Drosophila melanogaster: one gene and its partners. The protein of the gene in region 1 binds, or shares a complex with, the protein of each later gene. Each region holds a gene or a part of one and is shown on either strand. Other genes may lie near its edges. The genes, in order: MED20, MED18, MED23 and MED8.

Evidence for each region.
Region 2: MED20 (region 1) and MED18 share a complex: the UniProt entries of both Drosophila melanogaster proteins name them as parts of the mediator complex.
Region 3: MED20 (region 1) and MED23 share a complex: the UniProt entries of both Drosophila melanogaster proteins name them as parts of the mediator complex.
Region 4: MED20 (region 1) and MED8 share a complex: the UniProt entries of both Drosophila melanogaster proteins name them as parts of the mediator complex.

What each region holds. Positions count from the first base shown.
Region 1 is NT_033779.5:8,067,820-8,074,556, reverse strand, and holds MED20 (mediator complex subunit 20), read left to right. Parts: upstream 1-1,708; 5' UTR 1,709-1,795; coding exon 1,796-2,554; coding exon of another isoform or gene 2,555-2,602; 3' UTR 2,603-2,745; downstream 2,746-6,737. Other genes in the region: Trf (TBP-related factor), read right to left, coding at 841-1,360, 1,432-1,586; poe (purity of essence), read left to right, coding at 2,991-3,109, 3,291-3,385, 3,509-3,921, 4,177-6,343, 6,405-6,737. UniProt on the Drosophila melanogaster protein: Component of the Mediator complex, a coactivator involved in the regulated transcription of nearly all RNA polymerase II-dependent genes.
Region 2 is NC_004354.4:1,862,306-1,869,150, forward strand, and holds MED18 (mediator complex subunit 18), read left to right. Parts: upstream 1-3,603; 5' UTR 3,604-3,708; coding exon 3,709-3,833; intron 3,834-3,880; coding exon of another isoform or gene 3,881-3,903; coding exon 3,904-4,190; intron 4,191-4,257; coding exon 4,258-4,499; 3' UTR 4,500-4,582; downstream 4,583-6,845. Other genes in the region: Gcna (germ cell nuclear acidic peptidase), read right to left, coding at 23-338, 398-655, 722-1,400, 1,464-1,802, 1,865-3,431; Pex5 (peroxin 5), read right to left, coding at 4,703-6,409, 6,482-6,619; CG14803 (uncharacterized protein), read left to right, coding at 6,618-6,845. UniProt on the Drosophila melanogaster protein: Component of the Mediator complex, a coactivator involved in the regulated transcription of nearly all RNA polymerase II-dependent genes.
Region 3 is NT_033778.4:22,886,088-22,897,318, forward strand, and holds MED23 (mediator complex subunit 23), read left to right. Parts: upstream 1-2,840; 5' UTR 2,841-2,926; coding exon 2,927-2,965; intron 2,966-3,027; coding exon 3,028-3,121; intron 3,122-3,175; coding exon 3,176-4,140; intron 4,141-4,198; coding exon 4,199-4,285; intron 4,286-4,340; coding exon 4,341-4,543; intron 4,544-4,595; coding exon 4,596-4,972; intron 4,973-5,032; coding exon 5,033-5,207; intron 5,208-5,263; coding exon 5,264-5,752; intron 5,753-5,810; coding exon 5,811-6,137; intron 6,138-6,196; coding exon 6,197-6,420; intron 6,421-6,478; coding exon 6,479-6,561; intron 6,562-6,617; coding exon 6,618-6,765; intron 6,766-6,834; coding exon 6,835-7,492; intron 7,493-7,553; coding exon 7,554-7,694; intron 7,695-7,752; coding exon 7,753-8,062; 3' UTR 8,063-8,338; downstream 8,339-11,231. Other genes in the region: asrij, read left to right, coding at 556-615, 672-1,161, 1,220-1,446; Gmer (GDP-4-keto-6-deoxy-D-mannose 3,5-epimerase/4-reductase), read right to left, coding at 1,539-1,706, 1,763-2,320, 2,379-2,493, 2,548-2,672; CG3700 (uncharacterized protein), read left to right, coding at 8,378-8,630, 8,696-8,909, 8,973-9,588. UniProt on the Drosophila melanogaster protein: Component of the Mediator complex, a coactivator involved in the regulated transcription of nearly all RNA polymerase II-dependent genes.
Region 4 is NT_033778.4:20,323,238-20,329,712, reverse strand, and holds MED8 (mediator complex subunit 8), read left to right. Parts: upstream 1-2,906; 5' UTR 2,907-2,990; coding exon 2,991-3,749; 3' UTR 3,750-3,869; downstream 3,870-6,475. Other genes in the region: CG8929 (uncharacterized protein), read right to left, coding at 1-4, 83-449, 516-607, 692-1,386, 1,579-1,654; tapas, read right to left, coding at 3,900-4,117, 4,176-4,324, 4,383-4,534, 4,592-4,865, 5,302-5,420, 5,489-6,475. UniProt on the Drosophila melanogaster protein: Component of the Mediator complex, a coactivator involved in the regulated transcription of nearly all RNA polymerase II-dependent genes.

The DNA of each region.
Region 1 (6,737 bases):
CAATGTGTCTTTCACAAAATGCCTTTAATAGATTTTAGAAATCATTAGCGAATGTATCTTGACAAAAGTTTGCAAGCATATCGAATGGAAATTTATCTAATTTGTATTATCTAACTCTTGAATACATTTTTAAACGAAATGAAGTGAAAATCGTTGAAGAAACCGTCCAATTAATTTATGCAAATAATGAATCTGCATAGTTTGTAAGTTTTATACGTATATACGCCTTCATATGAACCACAATTAGTTTATAAATTCCCAACACAAATCTCACATAGCCATGTACATGAAGCTACTAAGCGAGAAACAAGGAAATTTTTGTACACAACTTAAGAATGTCGCTCCTTTCCGTACCATAAGAATCGAATCGAATCTCTATGAAGTGTCTTGTGTTTTCTTTTGTAATAAACGAAACCTGAAAATAAATAAAAGTAATGTTTATCCAAATGTGTTTTCTTTTCATGGAATGTGTTGGTACACTTCAGAATTTGTGGATTTGAATATTTTTCCCAAATTCCAGGAATGGGTACAAAAATGTATAAAAATTCAAATTACTTACAAATTTATTATTAATTCAAAGAATAGAATGAAATGGATTACAAGACATTAATATATAAAAATTTATTTAAAATAACAACAGTTTTTTTTAAATAAAAATTAATTTGCTTAGTAAGGCCAAAATAAAATCTTACAATTTCTATGAATTTACCCATGGAAATTATTAATTAAGTTGTTTCATTTCACATTTTATACTAAAAAAGTTAAGGTAAATATATTAAAAATATTGTAGTTATGGAATATAACTAAGCTAAACAAAAACATTTGGATGTGTAGAAACAACTACGTCTTGCGAAAACTTAGTAAAATAGGTGATATCGCCTCCAGGCAGTCCATAATGTCCTTGCGCGACTTGGCGCCCGTAAATACAACCTTTCCGTTGACGAAGATCAGGAGAACGATGCGCGGCTTGACCATGCGATAGATTAGGCCTGGAAACATCTCCGGTTCGTAGGAACTAAACTGCCCGTGCACGTGGTTGAGGTTCTCCAGGCGGATGGGGAAGCGCAGATCAACGGTGGCCACAATATTCTGCAGCTTGTATTCCATGAACTTTACGGGGAATCCCAGCTTCTGCAGGATGCGTGCGAACTTTCGCGATCCAATGTCCGCCTCAATCTCGTTTCGTGCACCCGTGCAGATGACCTTGCCCGTTCGAAAGATTAGCGCTGTGCACCTGGGCGAGTGCATTCGCATGATGACGCCACGAAAGCGCTTGGGCGAGTACTCCGAGTTCCTCGTACGCGAGTTGATTGCCTTGAGGTCCAGTTCACAGTTCACCGAGAAGGTGGCCACGATATTCCTGCAAGTTATGGATGTATCAATGGGTTTCTATTTATTTCATGAAGTGCCTCTGAAAAGTGGTCAACCAACTGCAATCGTATCTCATGTTGTGCATCCTTGGGCTCCACCAGGGCAACGGGCTGTTGCGGCTGCAGGGCTGCGTGCGGATTGGCGGCAGCATTGCTGGTCGCAGCCACATTATCCCTGTCCCTTTCAGCGTCCGCGACTTTAAAGTGAAACTGCATTGCCGAAAATTATAAACAAATCCGCACGCGACGTGGCCAGTGTTGTCCTATTTTATTGCTGACGAAAATTGTATGCCGGTTTGGTATTTTTATTTGTCTAACTTTTCTCATGACTAAAAAGTCAGCACTGGTCACACTGGACGCTTTTAGCTTGCAAGACTTGTAAACAAAATTAATAAAACTAAAAAGCTGACATTATTGCATAAACTATGGGAGTAACTATCCTTCAACCGTATCCCTTACCCGAAGGCAAATCGGGTGCCCACATAATCGATCAGCTGAGCAAGCGTCTGCTCGCCCTGGGCGCCACACATGCCGGTCAATTTCTGGTGGACTGCGAAACGTTCATCTCGACGCCACAGCCGCACAATGGAGCACCTGGACGCGCAGTCCACGTCCTGCACAACTCCGAGTATCCCGCCTCCACGTTCTCGATCATCGACAATGGCACCGGCAAACAAGTGGCCATTGTCGCCGACAATATCTTCGATCTGCTCATGCTCAAGATGACCAACACCTTCACCTCCAAAAAGCAGACCAAAATCGAGTCCCGTGGCGCTCGTTTCGAGTATGGTGACTTTGTTATCAAACTCGGTTCCGTCACCATGATGGAGCACTTCAAGGGCATCCTCATCGAAATCGAGTACAAGTCATGCGTGATTCTGGCCTACTGCTGGGAAATGATACGCGAAATGCTGCAGGGATTCCTCGGCATTGCTGTGAATAAGGACTTTCCCTCCTATTTCGCTCCACAGACAATAATGACGGCAATGGGGCAACAGCAGCTGCATGCCAAGCACAACGACATCTTTGAGCCAATGGACACCGTGAAACAATACCTGGAGCAGTTCACCAACTATAGGAAGCATGTGACTCTTATGGGCGGTATGGGCAGTGGACCGGGTAGCCAACAGGTTGGTCCGAACGTGCATATGTCGCCGGCGGTGGCGGGACTACATCGATCCTGATCCGCCGACGTCAAGCTGGAGCCACCGGATGAGCCTGCAGCCGATTAAGATGTTTAGAAGATAATTTAAACAAAAAAAATATACATATGTCACTAATATTTAATAATTAAATAATCATTATTTTAAAGCTAGCATCACTAGTTTGCTTTACATATTTTAGACGAATAAACAAAACATTTATTAGCTTGTCCAAATACGTTTAAAATATTATAGTTATATATATATATATATATATATTTTGTGCAGTGTACAGTTTTTTTCATATATTGGTTATTCACTACTTTTTTATGTATTTTTAAAACAGCTGATTGGAATAATGATTAAAGCTGTGTGGTATCCCTGCTCGCACGGCATTTTACCGTTAATGAAATCTGGCCACACAGTAGGCCGAGTACTCAGTACTATCGGGCAAATTGACGAGATTATTTAAACAATAATGTCGGCCCACAGCGGCGGAACGGATTGGAATTCCGTTGTTAAAGCCCTGATACTTAACCGTACAGGAGCCTTAAACAAGAACGAAGTTGTTAATTTGCTCAAAGCTATCACGCGATGGTAAGTACAAACGATCATCTAGAACTTTTCGCCTACCGAATGGCGTAGTGAAAAATTTTCTGCTAGTGCAAAAAGTGACTTGCAAAATTAAATATGGCCGCTCCGGTGACGAAATAGCAAAAAGCTTTGAAAATTCTTTAATATCGAGAACTAACAACGCTCTATTCCGATATTTGCATAGCGAACATGACTTTTTCGAGGAGGAAAGCAATTTCACGCAGTTTTACACGGCCTTTGCGGCCCTGGCGGCGGACAAACTTATGCAAATCAAGACAAGTAAGTGCACCCTAATGATTTTTCGCCAAATGAAAACAAAACAAAGAAATGTTTGGCCAAGAATCGAGTGATTCACTTGCGCCAATTCGCGTTCGCTACATTTATCATCTTGGTGCTTTTCAGTTTGCCAGACGCAGATTTGTCAGTTGCACGATGCCACCGCCGTGCTTATCCGGTTTATTATCTATAGACTGCCCAGGGTGTCCGTCTACGAGACCAAGTGGCTCCTGGGCGCCCTCAAGATGCTCTGCGAGGGCCGGGAGTGCCCAGCATCAGCGTCGTCATCCATGTTCGACTACAATGCGGTGGCTAATGTTCTTAAAAGCTGCAAACATCCCGAGTCGACCACCAAGAGCATTATGCCCAGCAGCAGTTCCTCCGGAAGTGGGGCCAGCAACGACAAGGAGTCGCCCAAGTCGGAGATTAAGCGATCCCGGTCGGACCTGTCCTCGGTTATTCTGCAGCAACTGATTGCTCCTTTAGAGCCCGGCAAGATGACTTGGGTTCCACTCAGCGAGGAGGTCACCGACTGCACTGTGAGCAAATAACTTAAACTCCTGTTTTAATAGCTTCCCTAAGATCGGTCATATTTGTCTGTTATTATTATAAATTACTCTTGAATTGAGTAGGTACGGATATATTACACAACTAAACTAAAATGCAATATTCTATCTAATGAAAATATTTATCCTACTCGATCAATTTAGAAGTTGTGTATAACTATTAGCTATGAGCAAATTTATATTTTCTTAAAAACGAGATACGCAATATTAAAAGCTTACTTCTTTCAGGAACAAATCCTGGCGGCCAATGTGGAGTACTTCCAGGAGCAAAACGGAGTGGATACCCTGCTGGATGTGTGTGTGAGCCTGCCCATACTCAATCGATACCGATCCAAATATATGGAGACCATCAACGGCGGTAAATCGCTTTATTTGCCACTGACCCAAGTGGAGGCCACTGCAGTGAAATCGAGCATGAATCACATGCTTACTGATCTGACTATTTTGAGTCAGGCCCAAGCCCTGATCGAGATGCAGCCACTGACTCCCAGTAGAATTGAACGACTATCAATGTGTGGTATTGCTGCGCTATACAATGCTGTGTTGACCTCAATAGCCACCAGTGTTCTCGGTATGAGCCAGGCCAGCAGCTCTCAGAAACAGACTGCATCCACTAGTCAAGGAAGCGGAGTAGGAGGTTCTAGTGGTGGGCAATCCAACAAAGACCATGACGACTTTGAGGATCAGGCCTGTAGCATAGTGAACAAAGCTTTAGAGATCTACTCCAATATTGGTCACATGTTCAAAACTTCGGCCAGGATTCATGTATATCAGAACCATCTCTGCTATGGCAGCTGGCTGCTAATTAGCGGTATACAAGGAGCAATGGGCGCCTCTGGAAGCGGTGGATCTAGCTCGGATTCGGCATCGAAGTCGGCGTCAAAAGCGACCAAGTCTGGTAGTGAGGCTGGAACCGCACCTACTACACCTATTGCCAGAGTCAACCTTTTCAAGGTACAGCAAGGATTTGGAGAACTCAATGCAGCTATTGCTAACCACAGCATTAAATTGCTCTCAGAGCTAATAGAAGATCTAAAGGTTGAAGCCGCATGCGGACAGAGTCTCGAATCCACAGAGCTCCCGGAGCCTGCACAGTTCGATATTTTGCAGAACTACAGTTCGCTGGAGCGGATTGTCCGCGTGCTGAATACAGCCACTCTGCATCAACTTTTCACTTTTCTAGCCACTGTGGCTTATCGCAAGGCATGCACCTTAAAGCGCGCTTCCGCCAAGGATCGTACGGAATGCGAACCCATAAGCTACTCAGATTCTACGACTTATTTCAACGATTCTCTCTCCTGTTCGGACAACTCCGAGGAGGACGATAGTGAGAGTTACCTGGGCCACTGGTTTAAGGAAACTCTTTCTCCAGAAACCCATGATGATAATGCAAACACATCCACACAAGAGCGTGCTGAACAGAAGAGCGCCCTTGTCCCCAAGCTAGATGAGCCACATGAGTATTTAGACTTGGCCGCAGACATATTCTGTTTCCTGGATCAATTTTTGGCCAATCGACATGCCTACATGCAGCGCTATGTAAAGGCAGGCGTTAGTGATCAGCAAATGCTGTTAATGGCAAATATAATCAAAGATTTTGACCGCGACGTGATGCGAAATGAGAGCGATCAGGGGTCGGGAAATGCCCCAGCTGCCAGTGCAGGAGCAGGAACCTCTGCAGGAGCTTCTACCAAGTGGCAGACGTCGATGATTCGATTTTCGGGAGCTGCAGGCCGATATATTCACAATTTGATTTCCACTTCATTGCTGTCCGAGCAATTGCAGTCAAATCTGCTGCAGCACTTGTCTATATCGCCATGGTCTACTGATACAAACACCTGGCCTTTACAAGTTTATCCGAGTACTCTGTCTGTACTGGTGCAAATTCTTTTGCTGAAGCCAACACAAGAGAAGGAAGCCGCCTGCCTGTCCGTGTGGCACCGCCTTATTAACACGTTGGTGGAAGGAGTTTGTTCTTCGAATACCGCCAGTGATTCTGACTATGAAGACCTTAACATTGAGCACGCCCAACTGCTGCTTTTCCTATTTCATTCGCTCAATCTGATGCAAAAGAAATCCATTCTGCTTTTAACGGCTGGCGGTGTTATCCGTTGCGCAGAAGTTTGTCGTGGAATCAGCGAGGATAGACCCGTAAAAAACAGCCAAATTATGCTGCTGTCTCGCTTGCTGCTCTTTTTGGAGTATCTTATGAAGCACTTGTACAATGCGCCTCCGGAATTGCTAGACCAGGTGCGCTGGAATCTTTTTAGTGTGAGCAGCATGCCGGACACCCAAAAGATCACGGATCTGCTAAACTGCCGAACCAAACTGAATTCCTATTGCCGCCATGATATTGAAGAGAATTTCCGCAAGTCGGCCGGCGAATATGGCTCATGTAAGTGGAGAATTTAATCTCCAATTCCAGCGATACTCAACCATCTTGATTTTTTTTTTAGCAATTCGCCCAACTTTTTACTCTCTGGTAATGGGTGATCCCGAGATATCCTACTGGGCTCAGGAATTTAAGCTGGATGGTTTGGCTTGGAACTTTATTCTCTGCACACCGGATAAGCTTAAATATCCGCTACTGGTGGATGCATTGACTGACATACTATCCATCACCGACATGTCAATGTATTCCAAGGAAAAGGACAAGGAAGCGAGCATGCATAATCTTTGCGCTATACAGTATTGCTTTACGATTGCCTGGAAGCTGAATTTGGGTTTGCCGCCCTCTACTTCTCACGTAGAGTCGCTGAAGGCAGAGCGATCACCCAATCTGCACTCAC
Region 2 (6,845 bases), on another chromosome or scaffold:
CAAAACTCAAAAGAGAACCCAGCTAGTTGGACGACTCGTCCAGTGTCAGCGTTTCCACTCGGCTGGCGATCGACGCCGCTGTCTCCTCCGCCGGCTGACCCTTCTGCTTGGCGTACTCCACGCTCAGGATGCGCATCACCTGTGCGGCAGTCATGTTGTCGCGCTTGTGTCTCTGGAAGTTGTCCTTAACGAACTTAGCAAATCCCTTCGCCTCGCCCGCCGGCGTGGATACGGTGTTTCCTTGCTTGTCCTTTTTGTTCAGGAAGAGGGTGATGGGTCCCCGGCAGATCCTGCAGCGCAAATCTTCCACCTTGCGGGATCGGGAATGGGCATGTGACCTGTGATGCGTAAAAACTGCATGACAATAATATTCTTTTTATCACTTGGGAGAACTTACGCTTTGTCGCAGCTCAGGCACTTGTAGGTATACTTGAATTCAATGCTATAGTTGTGGCAGACCTTGATCTGCGGGAGATCGGGGAACTTGTCGTTGGCTCTTTGTGCCCACATCTTCCACACCCGTCCGTGTCCACCCTCGCCATTGAATACCCAGGCCGCAGCATGGCAGAGTTCGTGTATCAAGGTGCAACGCAGGCGGTCCGCGGTAGTCAGCACTTTGACGCTCAGTTCCACCACGCTGCTACGCTGGTTAAGTCTGCAAACAATATATATTTATCGAATTCAAGGAGGATATCTGGTTGTCTCTATAAGAATCACCCACTTGCGCTTGTTCATGCACCGGCCGGCAGTGTTGCGCAGCAATTTGGACCAGGTGATGGGCACATCCAGCTCGTTGTTGAACACCTGGGCGTTATACATCTTGTAAAGATGCTGGGCCAGCTGATCCTTATTTCTTGCGAAGTTTTCCCGATAGAAGAAGGCCTCGTTGTCCGCCCTATCGCGGCTCACTTGTCCCTCCAGGGATTTCAGAAAGCCGCACTTGCCGCCGCTCGCAACGGGTGAGAGATCCTTCTGCTTCCTAGGTTTTGGAATCTGCTTAGTGGATTTTGGGGGGGTAGAAACTTTTGGCGGTGCAGATGTTTTGGGCGGAGCAGTGCCTTTAGGCGGAGCCGTTTTTGGCGTAAGCAACTTGAGAATTGGGCTCTCGTGGGGCGTTGTCTGACCTTGCTGCCCAATGCCAAGCTTCTTCTTTACCTCCTGCACTCTCCTGTGGACTGGAGTCCCGGGTAGGTAGTCGCTCTCCAGTTCATCCAGCATGTCCAGGTCCAACGCCCTGTTTACTATCTCCTTAGCTTGGTTATCGTTCTCGAATCCTGCGTTAGGGGTAAAAAGTTGGCGACGAATGTTTGGCTGCTGCACAGGAGTGGCAGGAAGTTTAGCCTTAACGCTGGCGCGACATGATCGCAGTATGTCGTCCAGGCGACGGTGACATTTTGGCGCTAGAATAATGAGTTACTAAAACATTTAAGTCAGCCATTTAAAATACTAATATCAACTCTTACACGGCGAGTCCTGGTCGGGATTGCTGATCACCTCCACCTCGTCTTTGCTCAAGTCGAGATAGGTAAGGTCGCCTCTCTTTTGCTTGTTCTCCTTGTCCTTATCACTGTCGCTATCACTACCGCTTTCGCTAAAAGTGGCATCTGCATCCTCGTCGTCGGAGGCGTCTGTCCCGCTGTCGGAATCTATGAGCTTGCGCCAGCGATCCTCGTCTATATGATTGGTGCGTGGGCGTGTCAACGGCTTTTGAGTCCGCGGACGTCTCTCCGTTTGGACAGCGCGCATCGGAGGCAGACGAGTCGAGTTTAAAGGAGTCTGATTTGTGCGCAGAGGTTTAGTAACTGGGGATTAAAGCGCGTGTGACTCAACGGTTGGAGGATAAAAAGCATGGATAAATTCTTACATATGCTGAAGTCCCCGAGAACACTTTCATCTGGCTTGGGCTTCTTTTTTTTAGCGGTGGTTACCGCTGTTGCTTGAATATTCCTGGGCCTCAGAGGAGCCTGTTTACCGCCACTACCACTGGAGCGCTTTAGAGTGCGGATCACATCTGGTGTCTGCCAAGACTTGCCGTACAATTGATTGAGCAGCTTTTCTGCGTGGGTGAGAAACTGCTCATCCTCGGATGCATCATCCACAGACAGCATGGATTTTTGGTGGCTCTGAGGGTCCTGCTGCTGGTGCTCTTGGTGCTGCACCTCCTCCGAGCTGGGCAGGGACTTAGTGGCCCTGGGCGAAGAGTAATGCTCATCGTCGTCTTCCGCCGAACTTGACTCCATAGTGGGAATGCTGATTTTAATGTTGATCTTCGCTGAAATATTAATACTGCTGACCTGGATAGAACCGTGTTCGTCCCCTCCCGATGTGGAGGAACCAGAGCTGGCCTTTTGCGGCGTGAGCTCGCCCTCGCTGCTGGTTTCCGGTATTTCAATGGATTCATCAGGAACGGGCTCATTGTTGTGAATCGTCGAGTTATGGGTCTCAGAACTATCAGAACACAGGGTGTTGGGCTCGGTGTCATTGTCTGCTAAACGCTTGCTGCTGTATGTGGGCTCAAGCTCCTCCGATCCGAGAGTATTCGCCTCCGTTTCGTCGTCTGCCAACCGCTTGCTGCTATCCAATCGAGTGGCATCTGCTGAGCAGATGGTATTCACCTGCGTATCGTTGTTCGCCAGTTGTGTGCTGTTGTAAATCGGCCTGGTAGTGGGTGGCTGCCAGTCCTCGTCGGTGGGCGACATGGATTCGGTGTCCGCATCGGCTAGACGGGATTGCCGCTGGCTGGAAGAGAGGGGGGGCGGTGTCAATGGGCCATTCCACTCCATCTCGCGTCGCTCTATGGACACATCGCGCAGAAAAGCCTCGATGCGCTGCACTTTTTCGGTTGTGAGCATGGGCTGTGGTATGTCTTCCTGGCCGGGATTAGCCACAATTTCCCGTTCACTCACAGCCATGCTATCGGGAGGCAAGGGTTCTTGCTCATCCTCGCTAGAATCGGATATGGTGATACAGGAGGCGGCGTCGTCGTCGCCGGATACGTTCTCTTCCGTAGTGGAGGAAATGCAAATGGAGATCTCCGGCTTGGCCGAGTGCTCCTCATTTATGGGCTGCACTTTCAAATTGCTGATGCCAGCGGACAGGAGCTCTACATCGCCCACATTTGCCACATCCTGGCTGCAGCCGTCGGCGCTCAGCTGCAAGGCTTCCATGTAGTCGGAATTGTCGAGTTCTGTGTCCTCCGTATTTGCCCCGCAGGACGGAGCGGGTGCTCCCACATTGGCGCGCATGGGAGCTGCTGGCAGTTTCCTTGTTTTCTGGTCGTTCCTCTTTTCTGGATGATCCTTCGGCGCATGGGACACCTGGAGTCGTTTTTTGTGGGAGGATAGCGTCAAATTGGCGAACTTTTGATTGAAGGGAACTTTTACTTTGCTCGGGTCGACCGCATTGAAGAGCCTATACTTATGATCCGCCATTTTGGGGGCGTCGTTGGGGCATTTACGGTAAATCAATCTCTATGAATATGCTTTAAGCAAAATTCGTATTTGCTATTATTCTGTGCGCGTCGATTTACGTTCATCGTTATCGATAGACTATTTGATTTTCCGGCATCTAGCTAGTGCTGTTCGAAAATGTCTAAAACGGCATCACTAGTAAAACGAATTCTTCCAAGGAAATGAAACTAAAAACAAAACCAAACTACTGCTCAGTTAATTTAATACCATAGTACACCCAAACTTACAAAATTAGCCAATGGCGATTGTGTCGTCGGCCCGTGAGTCGCTCTCCCATGCGATGAACAACCGCTTCTTGCCCAACCTGGAGTACTTGCTGCAGGGATCTATCCTGGATTCCGCCGTGGAACACTTGATGCACAGGTGGGAGACCCAGTGTCAGATTTGAATCGTTTGCACCCGACTAACAGTCTAACCGCCTACCCACTATCAGACTAAAGGGACTCTGCGACAATGTGGACACCTCGCCGGAGCCGTTTCACGATCTGGAAGTGTGTATGAGCCTTCGCCAGCCCAATGCCAACCAGCCGCTGCTTCTTCGCGTGCGCCGAGCCCTTGGTCGCGATGCACCCTTTCAGATGCGCTACCTAGGAAACCCCGAGGTGGATCTGCGCCGGCCTACATTGGTACGCAGCTGCATGGACTGCGCCTGCACCAATGGCATTTTGGAATTCCTCACGGAAATGGGCTTCCGCCTGGAGTTCGAGTACATAGCAAAGGGTTGGAATCATGAAATATATTACGCTTGGGTTGCCAAAATGGATAGTGACAAATGGACTTATTTCAGGCTATATGTTCCGCAAGGGGCGCATGAAGATTACCGTCTCCAAGCTCATTAAGATTGTGCCCGGCAAGCAGCAGGACATGGCCAACGAGCCAATCTCACAAAGCTACATAGTGGAACTCTCTGTGGTGGCGCCAACGGGGCAGGAGAATGTCGGCGAGGAAATGCGCGTGTTTGCCGAGCAACTAAAGCCACTCGTGCAGCTCGAGAAGATCGACTACAAGCGACTGGGCGGCATGCCGTAGTTTACAATAAAAGTGCACATCGCATTTATCCAACAGTTATTTAATTTCTTAAATGTAAGAAAATATACAAATTTACAGAAAAGAACCGAGAGGGAATGATTACACTGCCAGAGTAAAAAATATCTCAAATTCAACCTTACACACCCACATGACACGACAACAACGGACTTTCCCAAAGCAGTGATAAAGAAGCTGCGGGGCGGTTAATCCTTAAAGGCCTCATTAAGAGCCGCCAGATTGCGATCGCTCACATAACTCTGGAGATCGCTGCGGCCCATCAGCGAAATGACCATCTTCAGCGTACTCCAAATAGACTCGGACATCTGGTTCTGTCCTCTAAAGGTAGCCGCCATCGCCGCATTGGGCAGCTCTCGGGCGGCGTTAGTGTGAGCCTGCATGGTAAGCGCTGTGAGTAAGTGCTCCACAGCTTCCTTGTAGGCCTTAAGGTTCATGCAACATACGCCCACGTTGTAACGCACACGGATGAAGCCCGGTTGGAGCTGCAGCGCCTGCTGATAAGCCTCCACCGCCTCCACGGAGCGCGAGCCGTTGGCCAAACTGGCCCCCAATCGGTTCCATGTCTTCGCATTTTGGGGATCCACCTGCAGAGCGGACTGGTAGCAGTCCACCGCCTTGTCGAACTCCCCAGATAGATTGTAGAGCACGCCGAGGGCATCCTGGACTTCGGCATCCACCTCCGAAGGGTGCTGTCGAACGGCTTCCAAGTAGATCTGCTGCAGATCGCGCAGCTTACTCGGACCAATCAGCGACGAAGCCAACGAAGTGCCCTCGGCCTGCAGCTCCGGATGGGCTGCGACCAGGTGCTGATACTTGGGATGCACTGTCAGCCAGTTGCACAGCATGCGCACGGCGTTGTTCTGCAGGCCCTCGTTGGTGTAGCACGCGGCCAGGGCCATCAGGACCTGTTGGTTGTCCGGTTGCAAGTCGTAAGCCCGCTTAAGTGCCGCAATGGCCTGGGGATCCATTTCGTTCTCTGTCTGCGAAGTGCCCAGCAACTGCCAGACCTCAGCGCGCTCCGGTTGCTTTTTGGCCGCCACCTCGAAACATAGAACTGCGCTGGGTATATCCCCTTTGGACAGGTACTCCTTACCCTTTTCAAACGGGTTCTCCACATCAGACATGGGGTTGCCCTCGGCGAACTCGTACTCCTTATAAGCGTCCATATTGTCGTTGTACTCCGACAGCCACGGATGCTCGTTCTCGTCGGCCAGCTTCTGCCACTCGTCTTGCAGCCGCTCCCAGAACTTTTCGTTGAAGTTGGCGGCGGTTTGCTCTTTTTGTTCGGTGCTGCGCTGGTAGTCGCTGATCCAGTCGTCCAGCGATTCCCCCTGTGGCGCCTGTGGCAGATGATCTGTGATTATAGTTTCCATGGCGGAGTCAAAGAAGGGGTCCTGTTGCTGTCCTGCCGCAATGGGCATCAAAGGCTGACGCAATGGCGGCAGGGACCGAAAGTTCTGGCTACTGATCAGGGGCTCGTCGAAGAACTCCTGGGCATGCTGCAGGTCCTGCTGCTGTGCCTGCATGTGGATCATCTTGTTGGGCAGGGCGGGTGCCAGTCCGCGGGCAAAGTCCTGTCCCCACTGCTCCGCCTGCTGAGAGTGCATCTGCTGCTGCGGATTTCCGTGAATATTTATGTCCCGCATCTCCTGGAGCAGAGTGTCCATCTGAAATGACTGCGGTGGGGCAGTGACCTGTCCCAGGAACTCGTTGATCAACTGGTCCTCGGGACGAGCAGCGCGCTCGAAGTGTCGCTGCACATAGCCCTCATCCTTGTGGGCAACATCGCGGGTGAACTGTCCGCCCAGTTGCATGAGAGGATTAACTCCACCGCAGTCGCCCTCGACCAATGGGCGGAAAGACATGGTGTTCGAAGTGGAGATGCTACGTAACTGGGGCAACCAACGATAAGAAAAGGGGCCAAATCAGGTCCAAAACAAAAGTCCAAATGTCACAAAGATTACCTGTTTATCGGCCGTTATCGAAGCTATCGGCTTTGTGACAGTGTTGCACAGCGCTCTAATAATAATAAAATATATCGCCGCGCAAAATCTTATCCGCCAGAGAATTGGTTTCGAACGCCAAATCCCCGACTGCACCATGGACTACGACCTTTTTCAGTCGGATGACGAGGAGATCCTGGCTACCTTCATACAGGCGACACAGAAGCAGGAAACCCTGAGCGCGCAAATAGACGTGGACGATAGCGAAGAGGACCTAGTCGACGGTCTACACTTGCCCGAGTTCAACTGCAGTGGCCGAGACACTCTGAAGAGCCAACTGTGCGAGGGAGGCTTTCTGGGGAATGGCTACGCCCAATTGGATCCG
Region 3 (11,231 bases), on another chromosome or scaffold:
GACTTTCCACCTCTTATCAAAGCACGCGTTCTCCAATTACTGGCAATTTTCAAAAGTGTATTCGTTTGTCGACTGGTGGTTTTGATTTTATTCGATTTTTAATTTGGTTTATATATCTAAACTGCCTCTCCGTACAGTCAACGCTGCTGATAGTGTTGCTAAACTTACATAAATATATAAAATTTTGTATAAATAAAATGAATGATAATCAGCGCAAACTTTGCATTCTATAAAATGTGATTTGTTTACTACTAAGATCAAATGAAAGTCTATTCCAAATTTTACTTATATTGACAACAAATTCCATTGTATCAACTGTAAATGAATGTTGTCTTTGTTATTTAGTTTTAACTTCTTAAAGAAAAAGGTTTTTAACCAGTTTAGGATAGACAAAGAGTCCCTATCGCAACCATCGTGCATAGATCGACCATCACTAGTTCTGGAGATGTGCAGAAGTCACTGGCCCGTTTCGCCGGCGACCAGGGTTGGCAAATCGGCTGCGCCGGTAGTTGGTCCGTTATACATTTCACAAATTCCACATTAAATTGTATCAGCATGGACTCCCCGCTGAACGATGGCTCTCACCATCCACCGCCGCACGCTCCCCACCCCCTGGTGAGTGCTCTACGGTCCTTAAACTGCCACTACCCAAACGTTTGCATCTATTTCAGGCGGACTATCAGTTTTCTGCGGAGGAGGTGAAGGCGTTACGTGAGTGCAACACTGAGTCTTTCTTCCAGCGCAGCCTGCCTTTCGGCACTGGACTGGGCCTGCTGGCCTACTTCGGCGTCAAGAACGGCTATTTGCAGGGACACGTCAAGTACGGCGCCGTGCCCAAGGTCGTGATGGGCGTCATTCTGGGCTACTTTGTGGGCAAGTTCAGTTACCAGCAGAAGTGTGCCGAGAAGATCATGCGCCTACCCAACTCCCATCTGGGCGAGCTGCTGCGTCAGCGTAGACAGGGCGGCGGTGTCATCAGCTCCATCACACCGGACGAGAATCTGGGCAGGGCCTTCACTCTGGCCCCCTTCTCGCCGAGCTCGGCGGACGTGTACAGCGATGAGGCGTATCAGCCCGGGAGGAGCACTTCTCTCAATCTGGACACGGAATCGCGCCCTACTTTGTCCGGCCTTGACGACATCTACCGCCCCACCCTGGACTGTAAGCTCATCTAATTCTTCGCATTCCCTATTATGATTCTGTACATTCTCCTTCCCAGCAGCTGGTTCAATGCTGGAGGCAGAGTTGCCCTTGGAGCCGTCTAAGCCGGGCCAGTCTTACGAGGACCTGCGACGAAGGAACCGAGAAGAGTATTCGAAGCACCAGCAGAGTCCATACTCGCGACCTTACGAACCACCAGTTGCCGTTCAACAGCGACCCGTGGAGCAGGCACAAAGTGAACCCGCTGGAAGGAAGAACCAATACGGCGACTCCTGGACTGATTAAGGTATTGTTATTTTGTTGGACATTAAACGCGCATAAAGTTCTGTGAAAATTCGTTGTCTATTTACATTTTTTTTTGGGGTTGGAATATTCAATTACTTTCTAGCCTGGTCGTAGTTTTCTATGTACCACTTAACCGAGGCGTTGATTGCCGTTTCCAAGTCCGTAAATGCGTAGTCTGGCAGGAAGGAGCGAAGCTTGGCATTAGACGCAGTCTTTTTGTACTGTCCATCCGACTTGCTCGTATCACAGACCAGTCTTCCCTGGAATAAATCAAGTTAATATCTTGCCTTGTCTCAAATTTCGCTTTTTAACCCACATTAAAATTAAATGCTTTTGCAACGGCTTGGGCCACCTCGAAGATCGTCACCTCCTGCACTTCGTCCGCGCTTAGGATGATGGGCTCCACACTTTCGTAGTTCCTGAGCACCCAGATCATCAGCTCCGCCAGGTCCCGGGAGTATACAAACTGCCGTAGTGGCATGCCGCTTCCGAAAACGGTGAACACCTTGTCGTTTTCGGGGACGTCAGTCTTCTCCGTAACCAGCTGGTGCATCCTATAGATCATGCCCGGAATAACGTGGCTGACCTCTGGATTATAGTTGTCGTGGGGACCGAATATGTTGCACGGAATGACCGAGGTGTACACCCGGCCATATTTATCGTGGTAGGCGTGGTTCTGCACGTCTATCAGTCGCTTTGCGTAGGAGTAACCATAATTGGAGGGGTGCGGCGGCCCATTGTGCACCATGGTCTCATCTATGGGGTAGCTGGTTTTGTCCGGAAAAATGCATGTGGACAGGCAGGACACCACCTTCACGCATCCCTGCTCGTGTGCCGTTTGCAGGACATTGTCGTTAATGAGCAGGTTGTTGCGCTAAAAGTGGATTCGCATGAAATGGGTTTTGGAATCATCTGTGAGACCAGGAGCTCACCAAGAAGTCCAGGTTGTTGTTCATGTTGTGGAACAGGCCTCCGACCATTGCAGCCAGATGGATGACATGCGTGGGCTTCTCTCGGGCGAAGAGTGCCTGCGTGGCGGCCAGATTTCTGTGGAGAGAATTTGTTTACGGATACGTTCAATTGAATTTCTTCATGACTTACGTCAAATCTGCATCTTTAGAGCCCGCAAAAAACCATTGCTCGTCCTCTGGGGACTGCTCCTTGATCACAGCCTCCAGGGCCTTGCCCACCAGCCCAGTTCCGCCTGTAACCAGAACTTTCTTCATGATTTTTGTGCGATTCCACAAATCAAGTCAATTAGTTTCTAAAGTAATTTTCGACTCAATGCGACCAGCTGCTTTAAATGCCGGCTAATCAGTCAGTGCTGCCTGCCTGGCGTTTTTAATCTAATCCTTTAGCTATTTCTTGTTATCAGAAAAAGCCACTTTTAGATTCTTTACTAAGCCCCATTTGGTCACACTGTGCCCAGGTAGTTTTTGTTTATGCGGTGTCGGATATGCGAAAAATAATTTAAATGGATATGGAAACGCAAGTTATAGACACCGTTAACGAGTTTCTGGTAATAGTGAAACCCTGCGTCTCCAAAAAATCACCCACTCATCCACGCTCTCCATTTCGCAGAAGGTCGACTCCCTTGACGAGGCGTTCGTTAGCGTCATTGTATTCAAGCCAAACACCGAGCAAGAACGAGCTACCCGCTTCGCCAATGATTTGGGTAGGTAAATGCGTCTGCTGGAACTCGAAAATTGTTAAAAACTATCTGTTTCAGTTACCGCCTTTGGGAACGTGGCGCAGGAGAACCGGGAGCAGGTGCTTCGGCTCTACCTGTTGCGTGCCGCCGGTGCCTCCGGATATCACATCAAAGTGCTGATGGCGGCACTGGTGAAGCTGGTGGACGCACACGTGATCACCGCCAGGATGCTGTGCGACAAGGTGCTGATGTGCGAGAAACTGGACTTCGAGCACAGGACCTTCTGGATCGAGAGCTTCCGGCTGATCAAGCGTGTGATCGTCCAGGTGGACTACAAGGGTGTGCGCGAGATCATGAAGGTATGCCGCGACAAGGCACAATGGTTTCCGCTGAACGTCAACGTTACCTACATGCCACAGCTACTGGCCGTTGAGGATATCCTGCGATTCATCTTTGATCGCAACAATTGCCTGCTGCCCGCCTACTTTATTGCCAACGAGATTATGCGTCCGTTTCCTTACCACTGGAAACTCAACCGGCTGATGACCGACTTTGTCGAAGAGTTCCGCACCACGGCACAAATGGTTTCGATCATTGGACATGCCAGCATGCTTCCCATCGTAGAGCATTTCGGCTATGCCGATCACATGATGAACTCCTGGCGACTGGACCACAATACCCTGAAGTTTAACTTTAAGGGTAGCCTGCCCTACGAGCCAGAGCTGCTCGAAGAGCAGAAGCCCCTACTCCGCTACGTTTTGGAGCAGCCGTACTCAAGGGAAATGGTCTCTCAAATGCTGAACCTGCAAAAGCATCAGAAGCAGCGCTACAATGCCCTGGAAGAGCAGTTGGTTAATCTCATAGTGCAGGCCATGGAGATGACGGAGGCGAATGATGCCACTGCGGGAAGTGGCTTTAACTCCTCAGACGAGCAGATCACGCCCTACGAGTGGATGTGGCTGCATCTCTCTTCGCAACTAATTTACTTTGTGCTCTTTCAGTTCGTAAGCTTTATGCACATAGTGTTGGCGCTCCACGAAAAGGTAGGTCCATGGTGGATGAAATTAATATTTCTTGTAATTAACTACTTTTCACCTATAGCTTTCCAAGTTGGAGCTTCGCAAGGGTCGCGATCAACTTATGTGGATTCTGTTGCAGTTTATATCCGGAAGCATACAGAAAAATCCTGTAAGATCCTGTTCTCCACCTGATTGATCTTATTTTTAATCGCTTTTAATTTTAGATCACCAATTTCCTGCCTGTGTTCAGATTGTTTGACCTACTATATCCCGAGCTAGAGCCTCTTAAGCTGCCAGATATCAATAAATCCTCGATGGTTCGCCATATGGCACCCATTTGCGTTTGGATTCACCTGATGAAGAAGGCACGAGTGGAAAACATGAACATCACCAGACCATTGCCAATTGCACTGAAAAACCACTACGAGTAATACCTCTAACTTCCTTTGGTGTTTAGATACTAACTGCTTAATTCCCAGCTTTCTGCAGCACCTAGTCACGGCTAACACCATGATGAACATGACGCTAGGAAACGACTTCCGCATAATTCTCATCTGCAATGCATACTCAACGAATCAGGAGTACTTCGGGCGTCCCATGGGTCTACTGCTGGATGCCCTAAATGGCACTTCAAAATCTCCAAACGGTGGCCAAATCCCAGCCGTAACTTTTTCGGTCACGGTTCTGGACAGCTTGACGGTGCACAGTAAGATGTCGTTAATCCACAGCTTCGTAACTCAGATGTTAAAACAGGCCCAAAGCAAGGGTCAAGTTCCAGCGGCTGCACTACTGGAAACTTATGCCAGACTTCTGGTTTATACAGAAATCGAGTCGCTCGGTATAAAGGGATTCCTGAGTAAGTACAGCCTGTTGAAGTGATTAAACAATATGTTTATGGTTTTTTTTCCTCCTAAAGGCCAACTGATGCCAACAGTGTTTAAGAACCATGCGTGGGCCATGCTGCACACCTTAATGGAGATGTTTTCGTACCGGCTGCACCATGTTCCTACTCACTACCGGGTCCAATTGCTGTCTCTCCTTCATTCTCTGTCCTCCGTGCCGCAGACAAACAAGATGCAGCTCAATCTCTGGTTAGTTATACGTTTATCGAGTATAGACTTCTTTCTAAGTTCTTCCCTTTGTATAGTTTTGAATCTACTGCACTGCGTCTGATCACCAGCATTGGATCCGCCGAGTTTCAGCCGCAGTTTTCGCGTTACTTTAACGACAAATCTCCCGGAGCAGTGGCGTCTAATGAGAGCGAAGAGCTAAACAGAGTACTTATTCTTACGCTAGCTCGATCCATGCACGTACATGGTGGCGGCGATGAAATGCAGGGATGGTGCAAGGACTTCCTTTCCAACATCATTCAGCACACGCCGCACTCGTGGCCCATGCATTCCCTAGCCTGCTTTCCGCCCGCCTTAAACGAGTACTTTACGCAGAACAACCAACCTCCGGAGAACAAGCAGCAGTTGAAGAAGGCCGTGGAAGAGGAATATCGAACCTGGACGTCGATGACCAACGAGAATGACATAATTGCGCACTTCTTGCGTCCAACTACGAATCCTTTATTCCTTTGCCTTCTGTTCAAAATAATTTGGGAGACGGAGAACATAAGCCCAGTGGCTTACAAGTGCGTAACATTATGATTTAAACACAATCATTTTTTCTGACCATACCTTTTTTTTTAGAATTTTGGAGGGTATAAGCGCGAGAGCCTTGTCCACTCATCTGCGTAAATTTTGTGACTACTTGGTGGCTGAGGTAGCTAGCTCATCGGATGGCCGCGACTTTATTCACAAGTGCGTCGACACCATTAACAACATGATTTGGAAGTTCAACGTTGTGACCATCGATAGGGTTGTGCTTTGCCTGGCTCTGCGAACGCACGAGGGTAACGAGGCTCAAGTCTGCTTTCTCATAATTCAGCTGCTCTTGCTGAAAGCCAGCGAGCTGAGAAATCGTGTTCAGGAGTTCTGCAAGGACAATAATCCTGATCACTGGAAGCAGAGCAACTGGTAAGTTGGACACTTGATTTTGTTAAGAGCACAAAGGCATAGTTGTTATTATTTCTCAGGCAGGACAAACACTTGTCATTCCATCAAAAGTATCCAGAGAAGTTCGCGTTGGACGAGTCAGCTTCACAGATTCCGCTGCCCGTGTACTTCAGCAATGTCTGTCTGCGATTCCTTCCCGTTCTGGATGTGGTAGTGCACAGATTTATCGAACTTACCATTACAAATGTCCACCAGATATTGGGCTTCATTTTGGATCATCTGAGCATACTCTACAAGTTTCACGGTATGTTAAAAGTGGCTTTCGAGAATTTCATAACTTTAAATTACCCTTTAAATTGCAGATCGACCTATAACATATCTGTACAACACCCTCCATTATTATGAGCGAATCTTACGAGACCGCCCTGCGCTAAAGAAGAAACTTGTAAGATTTGTTATGAATATTATATTCCCTTCTTCTAATACACTGTGTTGTTCCAGGTTGGCGCTATCACCAGCGCCTTTAGCGAGATTCGGCCGCCCAACTGGAGTGTTAGTGAGCCGTACAAGGTGTATTTGCAAAGCCAAGACTCGCTGTGGACCCCCGAATTGAGCTACTATATGAGTTTGATCAGGAGACTTGCAGACAGTAAGCTAGGATTTGGGAAAATACTATGATGTGTTCATATATTCATGCGTAACCCCTTTTATTTTGCAGCAATTAGTGGGAAGAATGTATTTTACTCCACCGATTGGCGTTTTAACGAGTTCCCGAATGCGCCAACCCATGCGCTCTATGTGACATGCGTGGAGCTGCTGGGTCTGCCGGTGGCACCGCCACTGGTGGCCAGCAATCTCATCGATGTTATAGTAAGCGGATATGCGGTTATTCCGCAAAAGGACATTCACAGCTACATTAATGCTGTGGGCATTGTTCTGGCTGCCTTGCCTGAGCCCTACTGGAGCGGCATATACGATCGCCTACAGGATATGCTCAACACACCCAATATGCTGAACTGGACCTACAGATTCAATGCTTTCGAGTTGTTTAACTTCAAGACAGTGCGTGAGGCGATGCTAGAAAAGACCTACGCCGTGGTGTTGGCAGTAGCTCACTCAGTGTTCCATCACATGGGCGCCTTTAAGCTGGCGGCAATGACCAGGTACCTCAAGGAGAAGCTAAAGCCGTGCGTGCGAACCGAACAACAATTGCTGTATTTGTGCCACGTTTTTGGCCCCTTCCTGCAACGAATAGAGTTGGAAAAACCGAACGCTGTGGCTGGCATAGCCGTGTTGCTTTACGAAATTCTTGAGATCGTGGACAAGCATCATGGTCCGAAGCCTCTGCAGTACATGGACCAGATCTGCGATTTCCTGTAAGCAAATCCACAAAATCGCATGAAAGGGTACTAAACAAATGTGTTTGTATCATTTCAGCTATCACATTAAGTATATACATGTGGGTAATATCATTAAGAACGAATCGGAAGCCATCATTAAGCGGCTACGGCCCCTGCTGCAAATGCGCCTGAGGTTCATAACCCACCTTAACTTGGAGGATATTCACACTGAAAAGATGTAAGGGCCATTTAATTCAAACTCTACTTCGGTTTAAACATAACTTTTCCAATTTCAGCAACGACAATACCAGCAATAATGCAATAACCAGCCAAACGCAGTCTCCAATGCAAACACAGCATCAGCAGCAGCCGCAGCAACCACATCAGCAACAACAGCAGCAACAACAACAGCAACAGCAGCAGCAGCAGCAGCAACAGCAGCAACAACAGATGCAGCAGCAACAAATCAACGCAGTACAAACAACCAGCGTTCCCTTGGGCAGCGGTGGCAACCTACAGCAGCAGCAGCAAATCAACCAGCAGCAACAAATGTATATGCAGCACATGCAGCAGCATCAGCACATGCAAAACATGCGCCACAATTAGACTTTGTGGGACTCCCAAGTCAGTTCAAGCTGACATAACGACATAAGCCTAATTTATAGTAGTATTATCTTATATTTTATCGCTTATTGCATTATTCATTTTCCATTGAATGTGTAAACAGTTCTCAGATATGTTTAAGTTAGATACTAAGGGAACTTTTTGTAAGTCACAGCTGTCGGCCCAAGTCCTCCCTCCAGCTTTACAATCAAAAGCTTGACTTAATAAGCCCAGCTTAAAGCTCTTCGTAGATAACCTGTAGTTGGTGATCTTGTCCACCTCGAGCGCCGTTCTCAGTTGTGATCGCAGAGCACTGCGATGTATGCGCTTCCGGGAATCCAGATTCTGTTGCTGATTGCTTCAGTCAGCGTGGTGACCGAGTACTGCGACAATGGAACGGGCGAGTGCAAGGAGCTGACGCCCTCCGACTGTCCAGTGATATTCTACAACCAGCACCTGATCGGAGCCGAAGTCAAGTACTGCGACGAGTTCAACGACATTGTCTGCTGTCCCATACCGCTGGATCACCAGAATCTGAAGCCAGCCGAACAGACGAGGCCTTTTGAGAAGCGTGAGGAGTGACTGCAACAATTCCCTTCGATTGATGGAATTTGAATATTCGTTTTTTTTTTTTAGAGTGCAAGCAATACAACGAGGTCAGATCCGCCTGCCAGTCCACGCCCTTCATCGTGGGCGGCACAAAGGCATCCGGTAAAGAGTTTCCCTTCATGGCCCTAATCGGCACTCATCGGCCCAACAAGTCCAAGTCGGACATCAATTGGGATTGTGGTGGATCCGTGGTGCATCCCAAATTCGTACTGACTGCGGCGCATTGCCTGGAGACGGATGAGTAAGTATTCTCTGGGATTCTCTTGAGTGATACTCCTTCCATATGTGTACTTTTAATTGTCAGATCGAAGGCCGAGCGACTGGACCCAAACTTTGATTCGCCCAAATTTGTAGTTCGCCTGGGGGAGCTGGACTACAACAGCACCACCGATGATGCTCTGGTTCAGGACTTTCGGGTGGTCAACTATGTGGTGCACCCTGGATATGATACTGAAGACGAAGAGCAGGGCTTTAAAAACGATATTGCCCTGGTGGAACTGGATCGGAAGGCTGAGTTCAACGACCATGTGGCAGCGGTATGCCTTCCGCCAGACAGCGGCAACGATGTTCAGCAGGTCACAGCCGCCGGCTGGGGATTTACCGCGGACGGTGTGAAGTCCTCGCACCTGCTGAAGGTCAACCTCCAGCGATTCAGTGACGAGGTGTGCCAGAAGCGCCTGCGTTTCAGCATCGATACACGCACCCAGTTCTGTGCCGGCTCAATGTCCAGCCAAGCGGACACCTGCAACGGTGACTCCGGCGGACCTATATTCGTCCAGCATCCGCTCTATCCGTGCCTGAAGCAGGTCATAGGGATTGTCTCATATGGATTAGTTTGTGGCTCCCAAGGACTCCCGAGTGTCTATACCAAAGTCCACCTCTACACCGACTGGATCGAGAGCATCGTGTGGGGCAATTGACAGTTAGGAGTCGTAATATAACAAAAAAAGGATAGTTTAAAAAATAAAAATATTTCAAATAAATCAAATTACCTTGAAATGTTTATGATTTCAAAGCATATCAGCGACGTTGGGGCCCTGAAACCTCGGCGTTGCCAGATCCGGAGAGAAATTATCGCAGAGCAGAGTAAACAAAATGTATGATTTTAAATTTGAAGCAGTCTTGTTTTTCTTTAATTTTTTTTAGGTAAATTTTCGAAATTGCTCTTCTAAGCCAAAGCCTATATTCCAATTGCAAGGCTATTTTATAATTTTGCCTAATGACCAATAATGTAGCATAATTTATTTATAATAAAATCCAAAACAAGATCATATCAACAATAAAAATACCAGATTCAATCATTATTTAATTTAATATGATCCAAAATGTAAAAAGTCAAAATCAACAAAAAAAAATACCATTCAGGTGAGAGCGCTGAGCTCGGCTCACCTGCAATCCGCTCCCATCCGATCCAATCGTCAGTTTCGATCGAGACGCACTGGAGTGCGGACGTGTGGTGCGCTTGAGTCTGCGATTTCCTGCTGCGCTTTGCGGTGTCGTCGCATTTTTCGTGCCTTCCGGAGCGTGGATCCCCTGCATTTTTGTGGTCGTTGTGCAAGTGCGCGGCAGTCACGTACAGCCGTTGCAACAAAATACGAGAAATCAAAAACACATCGTAACAGACGAACAAATCCGCCAGAAGTAAGCAAATCAATGTGGCAAATAGTGTACCTTCGATGCGCGCTCGCTGATTGATTAACACATCACCTCCCTCCCACACACGAAGGCAAAAGCCGTGTGTAAAGTACTCAGTACTCGTACTTACCTGTGGGTGCAATCCGCTGCAATTGGAATTGCAACTGCACGGTGTGCATCCCCAGCGGAGAACGCTGAAGAAACCAAATAAAAAAAAAATAAAAGAGTTTAAAGTGCCGCGGCTGCATTGTTTTGACTTTGATCGTGTGTCGTGCTCTCCACCACCCCTCATCCGCCATCAGCCATCCGCCCCGTTGCCCCTCGACGCAGCGCGTGCGTGTTGCAACTTTTGATTAGCTTTGGATTCCGATTCGGATTGGGATCTCGCGGTGCAGTGCGCTTGCGTTTTTCGTAACTTATCGCCGCCCACATCTTAACTGGCATTTGCCACGGCGGCTCGTTCTCCTCCTTCAGGTGAGTTCCCTTGGAATGCATACTCCTCGAACTCGAAGGCATTTATACAAGCATAAGTCAGGATGGATCAGTAAGCCATGGGCTCAGTATTAATATTAAATAGTTGTCTCTATATAAACTTGCACTTTAAATAGGCAATGTTGTTTTGGAAGCAATCTTTTAAATGATATAGCCTTGCTAATATTTTAAGCTTTACCTATTAAGTGGTATATACATTTTCTCGACGTGTAATTATGTGGCCATGTACCACAGACATGCGTACTTGAACATACCTTCGTGTATGAGTATGTGCCTTGCAGGAAGACCAAGAAAGAGAAGCAGCAGGAATGCTCGCTGAATTGGCAATGCAAACGGGCGCTTATTTTGGAATTCCCTGCACATGTCGCAGCGGAAGAAGGGAAAAAAAGTGAAATTCGCCACGAAGCCTATGTAATTATAGACACACTCGATTCCA
Region 4 (6,475 bases), on another chromosome or scaffold:
TCACCTGATGGAAAATAATATATATGGATTGTTATATTTGGTTTCAAATTTATTTTGACTCTTAGCTTCGGACAATGCTTACCTCCTTTTCCTTCTTCTTCTTTTTTGCCTGTGTTGTAGGTGCTGCAGCTGGCGCTGACGCCGGCTCTGGTGGCTCTGGCGGGCGGTGCTTAAGACGCGGATCTTCCGGCGGAGGCGAATGGCGCGAGGACCGCGCGATCTTCATGTGGGTGTCCGACGAGGCGACACGTTCATGCCCGATGTGACGCATCTTCGCCTGGCGATACTTCTCCATGGCGGAAACCGAACTGCCTCCACCTCCGCGCACGGGCGGTGGAGTGGTGGGGCGACCATGGATACGGCCATGTGATTCCGACGGAGGGGGCGGAGGCGCCCCCGAACGATAATGGCCACGTGGCTTGGGTGGCGGCGAGCGCGGACCGCGGGATCTTTAAGATGGAAAAAAAAAAGTTTAATAGGAACAAAGAAAACACATTTCATATATCAATACTTACCGAGATCTGTGACGATGACTGGGTGAGCAGAGGGAGCAGGAATCATCGGAGCTGGTGCTCATAGAGCTGTTTGATCGCGAACGCATCGAGTGCTGCAAAGGGACACGGATATATGTATAAATGGTATGGTTCTCACTGACAGAATAATATGTATCACTATCTGGTTGAAAACTCACCCTCGGTGGTGGCGATGGCGGTCGCTTGGAGCGCGGCAGGATATGGGCGACTGGACCTCGCTTCTCCATTGCCGACGACGAGGGCGGAGGAAGCGGTGGAGACCGGCGACGTCCGAGCGGAGAACGCGACGCGTTTGGCTTGCGTCGCAACGACGAGGACGACGAGCCACCACTGGGTTCCGGCGGTGATCGGGGCCTTCCGCCGTGGCCGTTTCCGGGTCGACGCATGAGGGCATCGTGGCTATTGTTGGGCGATCGTGGCATTGGCGGCGAGCGAGGTCCACCACGGCGATCCATGCCACTGTGCATAGCCATGGGCGGTGAACGACGACGCGGAGGTGGTGAAAGCGGTGGCGATTTGCGCAAACGCGACCGACTGCGTGAGTGCGGCGAACGAGAGCGTCCGTAACGCTGCGACGGAGGCGGTGGACCTGGCGGCGGTCCACCTGTGGGCGGATAACGACCGTAGGGCGGTGCTCCACCCTCACGACCTTCGCGACCGTCGCGTTCGCTCTCTCCAGAGCTGCTCTCCCCCTGGATGTACATCTTCTTGTAGCCCGTGTGGCGCCATCGGTTTGGATCCTTCTCCTCTGCCTCGATCAGCTTCTTGTCCCAATAATCGTTGGTGGTGTTGGCGCGCGCCTTCTTCATCACGTTGTCGATCTCGCGTCGCTTTCCAGCGGGTAATGAGGGATCTGCAAGGTTGAGAGGTAAAAGGTAAGCTTCGATTGGCAGGGTGGTGGGCGGTGCTTTGTTCCGGGAAGCCCCTAAGACGGGCTGATGGGTTTATGGGCCCTTAGACATCGCTAATCCCGGCGAGGTAATTGGGTTTTCCCACTTCTATGCAGTTGCTTGCTGGTAGTTGGTAGAAGTTTCAGTTCAGGTACCTGTTATGCGGGCAGCTGTCGGCTGCCTGTCCATGTGCAGTTTTGGATTCAGTTCGGCGCGCCTGCGCGACGCCATCGCGAGATTTCGGATTTCTATCGCTTTGGCAACTATGTATATGTATATATATCGCGCGACAGATATATGTATGTATGTACTCGGGTTTCAATGTTTATTACCCCCAATCGGTTAGGGTTTGGTTTACTGTTTCGGATTCGGTTTGGCGAACGCGACAACACACTTTACCATTTCAAAAACATACACAACAAGCTGCAAATATATTACAATTGAATATAGAAACATGTAAAGAGAGCATTAGAAATGGCTAACACAAAGCAACAACAATATCAGGAGCGGAGTTATACAGAATGGGAATAGAGCGGAGAGACCTGAAAACGCAGAGAGAATCGCGGACGCGCTCCGGCTGTCATTTAACCCATATCACGCCGCGGGGGTCGGGGACCTGTGGTCCCAATCAAAATCGTGCGAGAGAGCCGATTTTTAATCGGCTTGCGCGTATATCTTTTCACATATGCATTTTGAATTTCTTCCATTTTTCACACATACACTCACACCAGCACCAATATATTTGCCTTGTCAGCACGAGAGGAATGCAGAGCGAGACAGAGAGAGAGTGTGAGGCAAAAGTTGGCGATACTCCCGACGGCAGCAACTAAATTTCGAATTTCAGCTCTGGCAATTATGTAAACGATGTAAAACAGGCACTAAAATAATTTGCTTACATTTGGCGACGTTTGCGGGCACGCTTTACGATATTTCGTGAGCTGTTAACGTTTTATTGGCAAATGAAAAACACGGCGTTGCGTTCACTTCAATTTTTCTCGACGGCCATGTTGGTAGTATCGATATGCCGGGGCACAATCGATGGCTTGGCTTCAATAGTCTAAGGACTGTTCAGAGTCTGATGAACTCGAGTCAGTTTATATATTTTAATAATAAATATTGTGTTATTTCAAGAGGCGCTCGTAGTTGAAAACACTATTCGTTTTGGGAATGTTTTATATATTAGACTATTTAAATCATATCATATTGTTTTGACATTATTTTAAGTATGCATTAACGATTCTGCTAATTATTGCAAAAATAAAAGTTATTAGTTCTATTTAAATTAAAACAGAAACAAATAATAACGATCAATTATTAGTTATTGGTGAGCATTAATTCATTTTTTATTGTTCAGTTTCCTTAATTGACCATATGATTTTAATTTTAGGATCTGAATGTAGTGTGGACGCCAGTTTGCTGCTATCGCAAACGTTATCGATAGTACGGTGTTGCAGTATTTTATTACACCCGACTAACAAATGATAATAAGCAGATCCACGGTCACACTTTCCACTTTGTGTCCATCCGACTGAAGTTAAAAATAATAGTTTAATTGGGAGTTTCCAAAATGCAGCGCGACGAAAAGCTTTTTGAGCTGACGCTGGATACGGTCCTTCAGCGTCTGAACGACCTGAAGCTGGCGGTTCTCTCGATGATCCAAAAACTTGAGCTAGAGTACGAGACCATCAACTGGCCGACTTTCCTGGACAACTTTGCCATTATCTCAAGTCACTTGACGGGATTGACGAAAATCTTGGCAAAGGAGCAGTGTCCGCCGCTAAGAAATCGAACGGTCCTGCCCCTTCTGGTCTCCATGGACCGGGATGACACCCTCATCAACATCACAGAGGGTCGGGTGCCAGTCTTTTCACACGACATTGTTCCAGACTATTTGAGAACTCGGCCGGATCCGATTACGGAACAGAAAATGCTGCAGAACGAACAGAAGGCGGCGAACCTCACCAACGACGCTGCCATGAAACAGGTCACTCAATACAACAAGGTCGTCTCCCACGTCCTGGATATGGTCAGCAAAGCGCGCGAGGAGTGGGAAATCGAGAGCTCTTCGCGCACCGGCATCCAGCAGACGAGTAGCATGGCCGACACACAGCTCCTGGTGGCCGCCGTGGGTATGGGAAAAGGACTCAAGCTGACCAACTATGGACCCGGACCTGGCATGATGGTACCGCCTTCAATTCGAGCACCCTCGCCAATGGGTGGACCCGCTATGAGTCCCGGCAACGTGCAGCAGCAGCTGGGAAAGGCGCCATCGGCTGTGAAAACAAACATCAAGTCCGCAAATCAAGTGCATCCGTTCTCTCGATAAAAAACATCAGTTTATTAGCTATTATCGGTTCCATCTGGCGGAATGTTTCGTCGTAATAAGTTATATGTATATTCCTAATTCTAAAACTAGGATTACGCAAACATAAACATGAACAAATTTAAATGGATCGTCTCCTCCGACTCAGACTTCTTATGTTGCTGGCTGTGCGTGCTTCTCATTGATGAGAATCTCGTGCAGCTTAATATCTTTCGGCGTGGAGGTGTCCACCAGCTCCAGGCACAGCGCTCGTCCGCCATCCTTTTGTTTAGTCATTCGCCGCACAATGCCAATAAACTTCTGACCCAGCGACAGTTCCCGGAATCGGACGCAGTTCTCCTTGCTCCATACTACATCAGTCAGTTGTATGCCTGAAAGAAGATCGTTTTTAGTTCTAACGCCAAACTGCTGAAGTTCTCTTGAACTTGCCATAAAGTTGTGCTGGCAATGCCATCTTGGGCAGCTTTCTTAACTCCGGATTTAGAGTTTTCAGTTGATCACAGGCAATTACTCCATCGTCGCCCACGTCGACGAAACGCACGTGTATAATCTCATCGTAAATCTTGTGAATACTTACGCTGCAAGATTAACAGATTTAGTCTGCGTTTTTATTGCAAGACCTGAATAAGTTCTTACCGATGATATACGCCTTCGGAGTCAGGGGCAGCGTAGGCCTCTCCAATGGCCAGTTGTGAAGGCTGCACTCCCTTGGCTGCCGTCTTTTGGCAATGCTCTTGTAAATTCTTCATCAAAGTCTGCAGCTGGTTATAGTATTTGTACGGTTGCACCTGCGGAAGAATCGCACATCATAATCGGAGTCATTAATTTGCTGATGATTGACTTACCGCAAAGTGACCGGGATTGACGGAGAGGGCAACGCGCACCTCGAAATAGGCACCCACTGCCGGAATAGCCTCGTAATCCTTGAGCATGAGAGACGAAAAGGTGCTGCCGGTCGATCTTGCGGATGGTTTCTTCTCTGGCGTCACCGGGGGAGTGGTAGCGACAAGGTCGCTGCTGCTGCTCTGATTCGAGAACACGGAGCTGAAGCTACCGCGTCTGGGCAGCTGGACATTGGAGCTCAGGAGCGTATGATCATACTTCTCCGGATGAATGGAGCTGTGTGGGTGGGGAATCAAGGGTGGGGCGGGAACAAGCCAGATTGGGGGATTGGGAGGCAATTGTTGGTTTCAAGGTTTAAAAAATCTGATTGCTTTCGGGCTTATTGGGTAGTAAAGTACATATGTGTGGCAGCTTAAGAGTATATTTTTCAGATTATATACAAAGATGTGCATGATTTTAGGGTAAGCTTACAAAACGTAGATCGAATTTGTGTTAGCAATAACATATCAAGTCAGTTCCGGTTTATTGAAGCACTTATAGAGATAGCATTAAGCAAAGGATCAATTATATTGTTAATATAAACTTATAGGGCACCAGTCACAATTCAGATGTCGTTGTTTAGGGAGCTTGATGACGATGTGATTAGATGACATTGACCATAATGATATAGAATGAATAGACATTGTACAAAAGCTTCAATAAAGGCACTTACCTAGCCATCTCGAGCTCCAGGCGAAGGCCAATGTTCACGCACATATACATGGACTCCGGATCCTCGCGGATGAATACGTTTACCAGAGGCTTACCACCATCCATGGCCACAACCTTCAGCTGCGGGAGAAAATGGTGTTACGGATTCGACAAGCTTTCAAAACATCCCTTTCATATAAAACACTTACGAGAGCTTCGGTGCGCCAAGGTATCAGACCACGCAGGCGATGAAGCATATGACCTCCGATCTCTGGAACGTCGTGCAGGCGAACGGGTATCGCCTGTGGCGGGAACGTAGCCAGAGCTCTGTTGTTTGCCTCCAGGCGGTAGATATTAGAGATGTGCGCCTTACGCTGCCGTCCATCGTCCACGTAGTAGACATCGAAGGACTCTTCGTCCGGATTCAGTGGTCTGGTGACCAGTCGCCCGCGGAACCACTGCTTGACGCCATCGACAGTCTCGTCGCACACGAATATATGGCGGTCGTGGAGCAGATCCGAATAGCTCACTCGGTCCTGCTCGCCCAAATCAGCCACAGTTTGCGCAATACTGCGCTCCACAAACTTAAGGTCATCATTGCGTAGCAGCACCATTAGATCACCATCATCGTTGATGTGAGACACAAGAATGGGCGTGGTCTTGCCGATCTTCTTTTCATCACTCAGCGATGGTGCCGGCGTGCACTTCGTTATTCTTTTCGCAACCAGATCGTTCAGATGAATGTCCTCAGCCGTTGAGGTGTCGTACAGCGTGGCCACCAAGCACGCCCGACGCTTACCGTTCTCCACCACACCCTGGGCAGATCCACCCAGTTCCAGGAACTGCTTCTCCGTGGTGAGCACATGGGCCACAACCGTCTGGCCGTCCAGCTCCTTTGTTAAAACCTGCAGAGCGTGCGGATGATCCTCGAACTTATCCAACGCATACATGCTGAGGCACACGGCCTGGGCCGGGAGCGCCAAGAACTGCGGTGGACAGTGGAAGAGATCTTCTGAATGAAACATTGCCACATCGCCAAAGTCGATAAAGTGATAACGGCCCGAGCGGGTCTCCTCATCCACAGAAATTGCACGAACACGATTCCAGCCATCGGGCATCTCCACTAAATAGACTTCCTGAGCGTAAGGTTTAGAGACCTTTTGTCGGAAATGCGGAGACTCCATTTGGCGTCCAAT